3 linked regions of the Canis lupus familiaris genome follow. The protein of the gene in region 2 binds, or shares a complex with, the protein of the main gene of each other region. Links are inferred from orthologs where the notes say so. Each region holds a gene or a part of one and is shown on either strand. Other genes may lie near its edges.

What was found.
Region 1: the proteins of PTPRG (region 2) and CNTN4 are in contact, whole or in part, in a crystal structure (PDB 3KLD), measured with the Mus musculus proteins. The link is inferred for Canis lupus familiaris from reciprocal best matches to the Homo sapiens genes PTPRG and CNTN4. Residues at the interface, in NP_033007.2 of Mus musculus: Lys222, Val225, His226, His227, Lys229, Phe288, Thr290, Gln293, Asp294, His295, Val296, Lys297, Ser298, Val299, Glu300, Tyr301; in NP_001103219.1 of Mus musculus: Thr128, Arg129, Ser130, Val132, Ser133, Arg135, Gln138, Gly139, Met140, Val141, Leu142, Leu143, Cys144, Gly145, Val219, Met220, Gly221, Glu222, Tyr223, Glu224, Pro225, Lys226, Glu228, Leu250, Asn304.
Region 3: the proteins of PTPRG (region 2) and CNTN6 are in contact, whole or in part, in a crystal structure (PDB 5E5U), measured with the Mus musculus proteins. The link is inferred for Canis lupus familiaris from reciprocal best matches to the Homo sapiens genes PTPRG and CNTN6. Residues at the interface, in NP_033007.2 of Mus musculus: Val225, His226, His227, Lys229, Phe288, Thr290, Gln292, Gln293, Asp294, His295, Val296, Lys297, Ser298, Val299, Glu300, Tyr301; in NP_059079.2 of Mus musculus: Arg129, Val132, Arg135, Gln138, Gly139, Val140, Val141, Leu142, Leu143, Cys144, Gly145, Met222, Gly223, Tyr225, Glu226, Pro227, Lys228, Glu230, Leu252, Asn306.

What each region holds. Positions count from the first base shown.
Region 1 is NC_049241.1:14,426,559-14,430,203, forward strand, and holds part of CNTN4 (contactin-4), read right to left. Parts: intron 1,337-3,645; coding exon 1,187-1,336; intron 1-1,186. UniProt on the Homo sapiens protein: Contactins mediate cell surface interactions during nervous system development. Has some neurite outgrowth-promoting activity. May be involved in synaptogenesis.
Region 2 is NC_049241.1:29,656,360-29,660,572, forward strand, and holds the start of PTPRG (receptor-type tyrosine-protein phosphatase gamma), read right to left. Parts: upstream 2,939-4,213; 5' UTR 2,187-2,938; coding exon 2,102-2,186; intron 1-2,101.
Region 3 is NC_049241.1:15,980,722-15,984,366, forward strand, and holds part of CNTN6 (contactin-6), read right to left. Parts: intron 3,234-3,645; coding exon 3,075-3,233; intron 2,962-3,074; coding exon 2,812-2,961; intron 144-2,811; coding exon 73-143; intron 1-72. UniProt on the Homo sapiens protein: Contactins mediate cell surface interactions during nervous system development. Participates in oligodendrocytes generation by acting as a ligand of NOTCH1.

The sequences.
Region 1 (3,645 bases), about 15 Mb from region 2:
ATGCTTGGATAGGCGTTTATTAACCATGCGGTGGTACACAAAAGACAGGACAATACACACTCTGCCCGTGCAGAGTTTACAATCTTGTTGAAGGCAGAGAGCACATGCAGAACAATTACAGAGGAATGTTGACAATAAACAACAATACGGTGCAGACAGAATGAAGTGCGGTGGCGTTCTGAAGTAGCAGGCTGCTCAGAGTAGGGTTGGGCTAATGGCTTCTCGGAGGAAGGTGAGTTTTGAGCTGGGTGCTGAAGGAAGTGGTGGACATAGGTTGACCCCTGGCTCACTGTGCTTAACCTCTTTGATCCCCAGATTTCTCTGTAAAAGAGGGGAGATTATGCTAGCTTCCTTCTCAGGACTGCTGAGAGGAATCAATTAAATGACAGTTTTGGAGGGGGAAAAGAAAGAATGGGGATTAGCGACGTGATCATCATGTAAATGGAAAACTCCAGACAGAATTTAAAAATTGGTGACTGGGTGTGTTCCCTCGGTTAGAGATAATGAAATCAATCTAGAGGGTTTCTGTCCAAGAGTAGGGTCAGAGTTCCCTTCTGCTTAGGAACCTTCAACAAACATCGGGCCCTATTACAGCTGGGGACTCTACAGAGCCCCACACGTAATGTAGGCCTCCCATTGCACAAGAGAAGGAAATGTACAACTGACATAGGTGCAGGTTTTCTCTCCCTGTGCTCATGCAAGCTGTGAACACAGAGGGTCCTGCTAAATTGCTGACTGGGCTTGTATGAATTAGCAGGATGTTCTGCATTTTAGCTTCTGGGCATGGTTGATACTCTAAGAAAATCTTACTGAACATTTCTGAAGAATTGATTATTTGTGACGAGTGATTTCTGTGTGTTGATTTCATTTGAAATGTGGGTGTGCGTATTAAAAAAATAATTCCTGGTTGGAGAATCTTGGTGACAAATGAACCAACAAAGAAAGTGCTGGTGTTTGAAAGACGAAGCACACGGTGTCTCTCTTTGTACAAGGTGACCCAGGGAAGAGTGAGAACTGAACTAAGCTGAGCATCTACTGGCCTGATTTCTGATCATTATAACTATTCAAGGGGCAGGGGGTGCTGATGCAGAGCTTCATTAGGGCTTAAAGTAGGAAGAATTCAAAGCCTTTTCCTGAGAAATAATAGCCACCAGCACAGACTCTCTGTGTCCTGGCTGCTACTCACGAGCCTCTTCTGTCCTCCTTTTCTCTGAGGGCCGGCTGGGTTCCCCAATCCCAATCACGTTGGCAGCAACTGTGCGAAATTCATACTCAACCCACGGGTTCAAACCCACAACGGTCGCTGTGAATGTCTTCCCATCAATCAGTTCTGGGACTGAAAGACATCAGAAGGTGGGGATGTTTTACAGGATTCCATGTTAAGCAGATAGGAACTTCCATCCATCACCATCACCATTACGGTGTGCAGGGCACTGTAGGTGGCCTGAGAGTAGTTGCACAACAGCTGTTACAGGGAAGCAATCCCAGAACTCCCTTTGCTAAACTAACAAGTTTCTAATCAGGTATGAGACGATGACATTAGGGTCTTCAAGGCCTCAAAGCACTTGACTGTAATCATTACTGCTATCACCTGATACATTTTTCAGCATTTATTGCACAGTGTTGGGCACACTGATTTTTTTTTAAAAGATTTTATTTATTCATGAGAGACACAGGGAGAGAGAGAGGAAGAGACACAGGCAGAGGGAGAAGCAGGCTCCATGCAGGGAGGCCGATGTGGGACTCAATTCTGGGTCTCCAGGATCATGCCCAGGGCTGAAGCCTGCGCTAAATTGCTGAGCCACCCAGGCTGCCCCACACTGATTAATTTTTACAACTATTCTATGAGTAAATTAAAATTACTTTGTTTTTATTGATGAGGAAAATGGGCCTTATAAAGGTTAAGTTACTAACCCAAGATTGCACTGGATCTGCATCTTCGTCAAACTGTGTGGTCCAAGTTCTATAACTCATCATAATGAAGTTAACAATATTACAAAGCTATACTACTACTGACAGTGAACTCTACTAACATATCTCAAGAAAGAATCTGAAAACATAAAAGGAAAGGCCATGGAGAACACAAAAAAGGGAGTCAGAGAAGTAGAATTTGACAGTATCCACCCAGCAGTATTTGGAGAAGGGCTCCTTGCCAAGAGGACATGGCCCACTATTTGGTGCCATAAGCGAAGAAGCTGTGGACATTGCCTCTATGCTCACTGAACAACTTTTTATTTTTTATTTTTATTTTTTTATTTTTTTCTGAACAACTTTTTAAACCAGTTATCATAAAGATTCTCCATGCAATGGGTGCCTACCTCTACCTCAGTCAGTAGAGCATGCAACTGTTGATCTCAGGGTTGTAAGTTCAAGCCCCATATTGGGCTAGAGCTTACTAAAAAAAAAAACAAAACAAAACAATTAAAAATAAAGTAGCCCCATAGTGGGCTGGAGCTTACTAAAAAAAAATAATAACAAATAAAAATAAAGTAAAAATAAATATTTCCTACGTAGCCCAGAACTCTGAAAGGGAGATCAACTTTGACAAAGCTGAGGCCATCATACAGGTGACTAGGGTTCAGTGGCTGCCAGCCTCCCTAGGCCACAACTAACACAGTCCTAACTTCCAAAGGTAAAGAGTGTGGGGCTTTGGAGTCAGACCATCTGTATTCTAAACCCAAATCCATGCTTAGTAGCCCAATGACCTTGGGCACGTTACTTAATCTTTCCATGCCTTGGTTTCCCTACCAAACATTGAGGTTAATAACAATATCTATTCATAGTACTGTTGAGAAAATCCAAAAAAAGGACTTAGCAGAACATATAGCACATATCAAGGGCTCAGCAAATTCTAGTAATTTTTTAAAAAAGATTTTATTTATTCATTCATGAGAGACAGAGAGAGAGAGAGAGGCAGAGATATAGAGGGAGAAGCAGACTTCCTGTGGGGAGCCCGATGTGGGACTCGATCTCAGGACCCTGGGATCACGACCTGAGTCAGAGACAGATGCTCAATCTCTGAGCCACCCAGGTGTCCCTCCTTTCGTTCATTATATTTATGTAGTACTTCCTGTTTTTAAAAAAGTTTCACAATCGTTTCTCTTTGGGTCATAAACAATTCTTATCATGCCCATTTAACAGCCGAGGAAAACGCAACTGTATAGCGATCTACCAAGTAGCAGAGTCAGGACTGCATGATCCCCTAACTTCCAGCTTTTTCCTATCTTTCCTTCCTAAGCACTCTTGTGACTCAGAAGAAAGTCAGAGATTGAACTGGAAACACAGAAACCCATTTCTGAGGTTGGATAAACTGATGTGAAAAACAAACGAGGTTGTTAAAATCAGTATGATTCACCTGAGTTGCGCAGAACTAGGCCTATCGCTCCATGTATTTCTACCTCAAAACATCAAGATATGGCCATCTCACATAGTTTTTAATATAACAAAATCTCATGCCTCTTCATTTCCAAACTCAACCATCTAAAAAAAAAATGGATAGCAAGTCAAGAGGCTCCAGGCAGTCCTTAGTTATTGATTTCTTGAGAGCAGTAAATAAACTTTATAAAGGCTATGTAGACTAGTATAATTCTTTGCTTCTCAAAGTGTATCATCAGTAATACACAGATAATTTTAGGTAATATGCAG
Region 2 (4,213 bases):
GGAGGTCCCATTTTGGATTTCAAGCTTCCTCAGACACCAGGAAAAAGAAAACCACGGCCAACCCACTGGCTGCCGTCCCCCGAGCTAAGGAGAAGGCCAGAAGTGGAATTAAAATTCCTTATTTCGCAAGGCTGCCGCCCACTGCCCCCTTTAAAGCGCGACCCTTACAAAGCTCGACCCCACCGTGCACCTGAGCCCCCTCGGGCTGGCAAGTCCAAGGCACAGAAAGTCTAGAAGGAGCAGATGGGGGCGGGGGGGACCACAAATACTGAGCAAGTCTTTTAAGGGAGAGAAGGCTTTTTTTTTTTTCTTTTTTTTTAAGGGGAAATGTCCACACCATCCCCAGCCCCGTGGAGGCAGGACCCTGGTAGGCCAACCGCAGGCCTCAGGGTTAGTGTGGACGCACGTCCTCGCGAGCCATCCGAGCTGGGTTTCTGGCAGTGGCAGGAGCTCCCTGCGGGTCCCGAGGGGATGGAGGATGTGCAGAGGGGCAAGGGGGGCTTTGCCTCTCTGCTCCTCGAAGCCACCCGTGTGCCTGCACAAGGGACACTCGCTGCCGCTCCCCGAGCGGGTCCCCGAGGGCAGCGAGAGCGCCCGCGCCCTGTTGCAGGGCGCACGATGGAGCTGGAGGACCCGCTGCACCAAAACCCTGCGCTCAGGCCGCTCGGGGACAGGCGGCCGTGAGCAGGGAGGGCAGAAACATCAGGGCACGTTCCTGTCTTCCTTCGCTCAGATAACCCCCTACCTACCTCTGGGTAGCCAAGAGCTACTGGATGAGAGGGCAGAAAAAAAGGAGGGGTTCCCTATCCTCAGAACAGCGAGATCAAAAAGCGAATCGCCCCCTCCTTCCCACCCGTTCCCCGACTAGGGCAGAGGACGTGGCCTCCACCCCCGGGGAGGGGGCCGGACAGACTCCGAGGAGCACCGGGGTGTAGGTGTAGCCGGTGGGGGGTGGGGGGCTGCACTGGGGAGAACAGGGGTGGGGGTGTCTGCACGAGGGGCGAGGGAGGCGGCTGGCCTCTGCCCTGCGGGAGGCTCGGCCAGCGGAGGGCTGGAAGTGGAGGGTCGCCGAGCCGCACACCGCTGCGTGTGCTCATTTATCACCGTCACCCGTGGCCAATACTGTTCCCGTCTTAAGCCGGCCAGAAAGAAGCGAGTCTAGTCTAGCTCGGCCAGCCGGGAACAGCCTGCAAAAGGGCAAAGATGAAGGTAGGCAGGGCGCGCGAGACAGGAAGAAAATCCGCCCCGGCGCGAACAGCCACCCAGCCGCCGACCACCCCCGCCCCCCTGCGCCCCCACTGGAGCAGCCCCGCCGAGCAGAGTTGCAGGGTGCAGGGTGCAGGGGCCGCCGCGGGCCGGGGCCGGGGGAGAGCCACGATCTCCCTAAACCGCCCGCTCCCAGCCCCGGGCCCCCGCGCCCGGGAGGGCTGCCTCACTCCAGCACCAGAGCGCAGCCCCGCGGCGCCCCAGCCCCGAGCGGGGGTCGCCCCTCGCCCCGGGCACGAGAATGCAGGCTGCTGCCAACATCCCCGATCCTCCACCGTCAGCCTCCAGCTTCCGTCCTCCTAACCCCAGCCTCTCCAAAAAGGGTCAGGAGGCAGCAAAGCAAAGTCCCCCTCCTCCGGAGCTCCTTCGATCCTCTCGGGGGCGAGGGGCGCACCTTGGGCCCCCCCCCAAACCACAGAGGCATCCTCTCCCTGGCCCTAGGCTCCTCGACCGCCCCCAGAGCTCTCGCTCTCCCGAACGCTGGCGGATCAGCAAAGCGATCTTTTTTATTATTATTATTATCTTCCCCACTCGGGCTCTCCAAGACATCCCCCCCCCTCCCCACCCCCGCCACGAACCCAAGCAAGAGCAGACCCCTACGGCCCCGGTCCCCCTTCCCGGGCAGCTCCTGCTTCCACCCTCACCAACCACCAGCCTCCCTAAACGCCGCCAGAACCAGCGGAGCGGATGCCTCTCTCCTCTCTGCGTGCCCGGCCCCCCTGCACCCTCGCTGGGGTCCCCGGGACGGGCGCCCGAGCTCCGGTGCCGCGGCGACAACTCCGCATCCCCCGCGCGCGCCGGCCAGGGCCGGGTCCGCTCCGCGGCCGGCACTCACCGGGGAAGCACACGACATAATGGAGCACGGAACTGGTGATTTTCAGGAACAAAATCCACCAACACGGTTCCAGTAACCTCCGCATGTCCGAAAACGCACATCGAAAAGAGGAAGGCAGGGGGAGGGGGGGTAAACTTGTTGAATAAGTTCTCGCCTCCGAGTGAGCCTCCGCGAAGCCCCGGCTCTTCCCCGGCTCGCCCGCTCCACGGGGCCCCCCTGCGCTCGGTGGCCCGAGTCCCCCCCGGAATCCGGGAAGCCGCCGAGCGCCCCCCGGGGAAAAAAAAAAAAAAAATCTCAAAAAGTGACCGGGAACGCGGAGCCACGCTGGGGACGATCCTCGGCGGAGAAGGGCTGCTTCCCGTTCAGAAACAAGAGCGAGCCGGGCGAGCAGGGCGAGCGGTCGGCGGCCGGCGACGATGCCCGGGGCCCGGGGCGCGCAGGACCGCAGGCGGCAGCGGCGAGCAGCCGGAGATCCCCAACTTGAGTCGGCGGCGCGGCGCAGCCCGGGAGCCGGCGGGCGGCGGCGGGGCTGAGCGCGGCGCGGCGCGGCGTCTCCCGGCTTCAGGCAGGCAGCTCCTTCCAGGGCCCGGGGAAGGAAGGAGGCATGTTTGCGCGCGGGGAAGGGGAGGGGAGAGGCGGGGGGAGCGAGGAGCCCCCCGAAATAGAAACGGCCGGAGGAAACGGAGGAAAACACAAAGGATCTCAGAGGGGCGCAGGGGCGAGGGCGCCTTCAGTCCATGCTCCTGAAAGTTGTGGCTCCAGCGCAGGCTGGGGAGGAACGAGGAGCGCGGGGCTGGAAACTGGCCATGCCTCCATACAGGAAGTAACATGTGAGCATGGATCCTGGCAGAGACTTTAAAGCCGGCGAGCGAGCGAGCAGGGGGCGCGCGGCGGCGGGCGCGGGGGCGCGCGGGCCGGGGAGGGGGGAGCGCGCGGCGGCGGGCGCGGGGGCGGGGGGCGCGGGGGCGCGCGGGCCGGGGCCGCGGGCGGCGGGCGCGCGCTCACCGCGCTCTTAAAGCAGCCGCTCTCGGCTCGCGCGTTGGAGGGGGTCCCGCCGCCGGGTTCTCCCCGCGCGCGCGCGCGCGCTTTCGCGCCCCCCCCCCCCGCCCTCCACCCGGGTGCGGGGCTGCGGGCTCGGCTCAGCCAGTTTGGCGGGGGGGAGCTGGGGACGGCTCTGGCCGGGTCTCCGAGACACGGAGGAGGGCGGCTGCCTGGTTGAGCTGGCGAGTCTTTGCCAGATTCCAGTTCTGCGAGCTCTTAAAGACGCCGAGCGTTGCGCGGGCTTGGCGAGAGGGCGCCTCTCCGTGCGCGTTGCTCGCAGATCCCGGGCCTTTGGAGAGAGGGGCTGCATTGGGGTCGGAGGAGAGGACGGGGGTCGGGCGGCTGCCTTCCTCCTTAGGGCAGGGCGGAGAGCTTCCCAGCTCGGCTCCAGCAGCGCCGCCGCGGGGCGCGCCCTGCCCAGTCCCCGCTCGCGCCCCCAGCCCGGCACAGCCCCCCGCCTGGAAACAAAGCCGAGAGAGGCCTGTGCACTCGGGCTGCGTCGGGATTTTTTTTTTTCTTTCTTTCTTTCTTTTTTTTTTTCCCTCCTTTCAGGCTTCCATTGGCCGAGTCCGCGGCTGGGGGTGGGGGGAGGGGAAGATATCGATCCCAGGCTTGCAAAACGCAGCCCTTGCGGTCGCACACCCTCTCCCCCCTCTCGCCCCGACGCCTCGGCGGCGGAGTTTTCCCAACTCGCAGCTCGGCGGGAGCAGGGAAGGTTCCCGCGCTCGGGCCGGGCGGTGCGGAGAGCGCGGGAAGTGCGCCCCTCGCCCCGGGCTGGGGGAAAGCAGCGCCGCGGGGCTGGCCCGGCTTCCTGGCGGCTGCCCGGGGAGCGGCTGCCTCGTTAGCAACCCGGGAGAGGAGAGGCGTCCGGTGGAAACGGGAGGACTGGGCTTATCTGTAATGAGTTTTGTCCCTGGGCTCTCGGTGAGAAGATCCTTATCGCTCAGACTTCTAAGCGCCCTATTTTCTCCCCTTCCGCGGGTGCCGAGAGTGGGGGAGGCCGGCTTCTGATGAAACGCTGTAAGCGAGCCAAGGTAATTTGCCATTTGTAATTTTTGCCTAATTTTTCCG
Region 3 (3,645 bases), about 14 Mb from region 2:
TTTGTTTTTCAGTTTCTTCCTGGCCAGCTAAATCTTTTTCTTTCAAAATAACTGAGTTGGATAGAAAATTACCTCCCACGTAATGACGAGTTCCGACCGACTTCCACCACCTCCATTGATGTTTGTTGGTGCCACAACAGGGACTGGAAGCAACCAAGAGAAACGTGGGACAGCGATTATTAAAGTACATCTTCATCAGGAAGAATTTTGTTTTTAGATTTCACCTTTCAAAATCTCATGCTGCACATTGTGAGAGTCTTGCATTTTTAATGAACATAAATTATGTTTACACATATCCAAATTTCTAAGAGAGAGGACACAGTTGTGTTTGATCCATGAGCACCCTGGCTCCAAAATTAATTAAAAATCGAGTAACATCATGTATTTGACATTATTATGCATCATCTGCTAATTGGCAAAATGATGTTCCATTCAGATGGTAACAGTGACACCGCTGATTTAGTGCCTAATTATACAGTTGTGCTGTAAACAAGTTACTGAGGCAGTATATTAATTAATTCTTTTTTGTAATAAACAAACTAAAATGATTTTTTTTTAGTCAAGATGGCTTAACATTTAAAAATGCATTCTTAAAAATACGTAAGTACATAAATCCTTGTTATTGTAACTCTGTGTTTGAATCTCACATCTCCCAGTACAGAACAGGAAGGACTCTTCCTCTGACTTTTCACTTGCCAGTTAAGAGGATGGCCTCCTGTCAAGGATGTGATAGAGAGTATTTTCTCCGTTTAATTCTAGGACTCTAAGGCTCTGTGGGAGAACATTCTAGACACTGATCATTTGAATTAGAAAACAATTATGCCCATCATGTATACCCTTGTGAGGACTCATATAACGAATAATAAGTAGTTTGAGGTAAATTACAAAATTGATGACAGTTATATGTGTGGGTCTTGTAGTATGTAATCAGAATGGGGTTTGACTTCATATACGTGGAAGTGCTAAAATGTAATCCTTTTCATGAAATAATGGCAGATGCATCCTAAAACTGTGATAATGGATATATCTGCATGATATATTTTTAAAGGTTGAAGTACATGTAATTATCTATATTTGGCCATTTTTTATCAAGATCTAGAGGTGGGGGGGTGGAAGTACCTGGTTATTTTTGCTGACTGGAGGGCAGGAATTAAAATACATACTATTTCATTGCCCATTTCAAAATTTTCTTTCACTGTGAAGACCATTCAGACAAATCTAGACTACTTATTTTATTTACTGCCATTTGTTACAGATGTTTAACTTTATAAACAACACAGTGATATAATAGTCTAATTCTTCTTTTTAATAATAGCACCTATCAGACATTATCCATTTTCATATTCAAAGTTGCCCTTTGTCACTACTTTGAACTTCACAATATATTTAAAAGATTGCCTTGTACCTATACCCTATTTTCTAATTTCTATTTTTCAAATGAAACATACTAAACCTAAAACCGTATTGAGAAGCATCTTTAAGAAGCTACACACACAAAAAAAGGACACACTTCAGTATCATTTGGAAATTCAGGGTAATTATATTATGAACACCAAGTCATACCATGCTATTGAAACAAGACTGTCGGAGCTTATTAGAAGGTAGTGCACAAGCTTTATGTAAAACTTTATAGTTAGAGTCAACCCTGCCCAAAGCTACCATGATCTGAATCAGCTGTACAAAATGACATAAAACTCATGGTAAGAGTGAGACATAGGCCACCCTTGGAGATTTTCATCCAGCCAATCTATGGTAAGGACTGGAGACTTTTATATTTACACATTTCCTTATGCCAATTTCTTGCTCATCTAGGTTAAGACCCATAGTTATGGAAAAATGCTGGTGCACAGCCTGAAGGTCTGAGTTCAAATTCTGACTCTTTCTGAAATAGTCAGCTAAGATCCTGGTTTTCCTTTTCCTCTTCTGTAAAATGAAGGACTCTCCTCTCAACTCTAAACTTCTATGATCTAATTTAAGATCTTACTGTCAAAAATGTTTTTCTGTCCCAATCCTACAATAAAAATACTTATATTATCTTTAATATGAAAAAAGCCTTATTGACATCTGACAGTTGTACACACTTAATTGAAGTACTTTGTGCTTGTTAAACTAAGCCAGTGACAACAGAGTGATCCCTCATTTATATGACTGAATAAGAATGTGAACTTTGTCAGCTGCACACAGCAAGCAGATCAAATGTTACCCTGGATGTAAAATTTAGGAGTGGAACAAAGAGGATCCATTGAAAAAAACTTAAGAAGAGGTGATTTCTGAGCCAGGTTCCACTTGTATTTTGCTGTTCAGTGAACCAACTGATGCTCAATTAGTGCTTCTGTTAAATGAGCTTAGGATTTTCCTCATTTGCATGGGAAAGGATTTATACTATTGCTCAATGAAGCTGCAACTAGGTCAGAGTTGAGAAATAGATGGAAATGTGTGGCTGATTGCACCTACAGAGTCTCAATTAATTCTTGGCTACAACATTTAATGAAACAAGCAGTAACTCATTTGCATGTACAAATCTACAGATTCTCTGTTGGAGTTTGGCTAGAAAATAGATGAGATGAGAGGACAGATTCTGAAAAACTCTTATTTTTGACATGTCTGCTTAGTTATAATCATCTCTTATTGAACTTATATTTAGGAGAAAATACTCCTTGCTTTGTGTACATACAAATGTTAAAATGAAAGCTGATGGTTTCCTGCCTCTGATTTGGGGCCCCAAACAAGACCCATAAAAATACTTCTTACTTGTTTTCTTTAAGAACTACATGGTAAAAAGTCTTCCATGAATTTAGAATAATTTCTTACCTGATGCTTTGGTTCTTAACAATTCTGATGCTTTACTTGGTTCTCCAATCCCAATGCTATTTCCAGCAACGACGCGAAATTCATATTCCACCCAAGGACTCAAACCAATCACTGTTGCATTGTACGTCTTGCCATTGAGAATTTCTGGAACTAAAAAGGGAGTGGCACTTCAGGCATCAAAACTATCACTACTTAACAACAATCAATCAATCGAACAAAAATCTGTTTTAGAAAAAGCATCTGAAAACACTGGTGTCACTTACCAGTTGAAACAGCCTGCCAACCCACTGAAAATGGTGTCCGAGCTTGAACAGTAAATATTTGAATGGGACTATTATTATCTGAGCCTGGTCTCCAGCTTAGTTGAGAAGTAGTACTGGAAATGTGTTCCACTCTTACATCCTCAGGGGGACCTGGTGGACCTTGAAAAATATGTTCGATGATTCAATTATCTTTTAATAATTGAAAATTATTGAATTCATTGATTTGAGATGGGGCAGTTTATTCTTATCTGTTATACTTAGAAAATAAAGTATTGAACATAAAGGTACTTGTAGGAAATTATTTGAGATAAAGCCCTATTAACTCAGTTTACCTGGTAAGAGACTAATTTAGAAACCATTCTTTGAAAATTAGAAAATTCTGGGGCACCTTATGGCTCAATCAGTTAAGTGACCAACTCTTGGTTGGCTTAGGTCATGATCTCAGGGTTGTGGGACAGAGCACCATGTTGGGCTCTGTGCTGGGCAAAGAGCCTTCTTAAGATTCTCTCCTTCTCCCTCTGCCCAACTGCCCTTCCCTCTTAAAAAAAAAAAAAAAAAAGAAAGAAAGAAA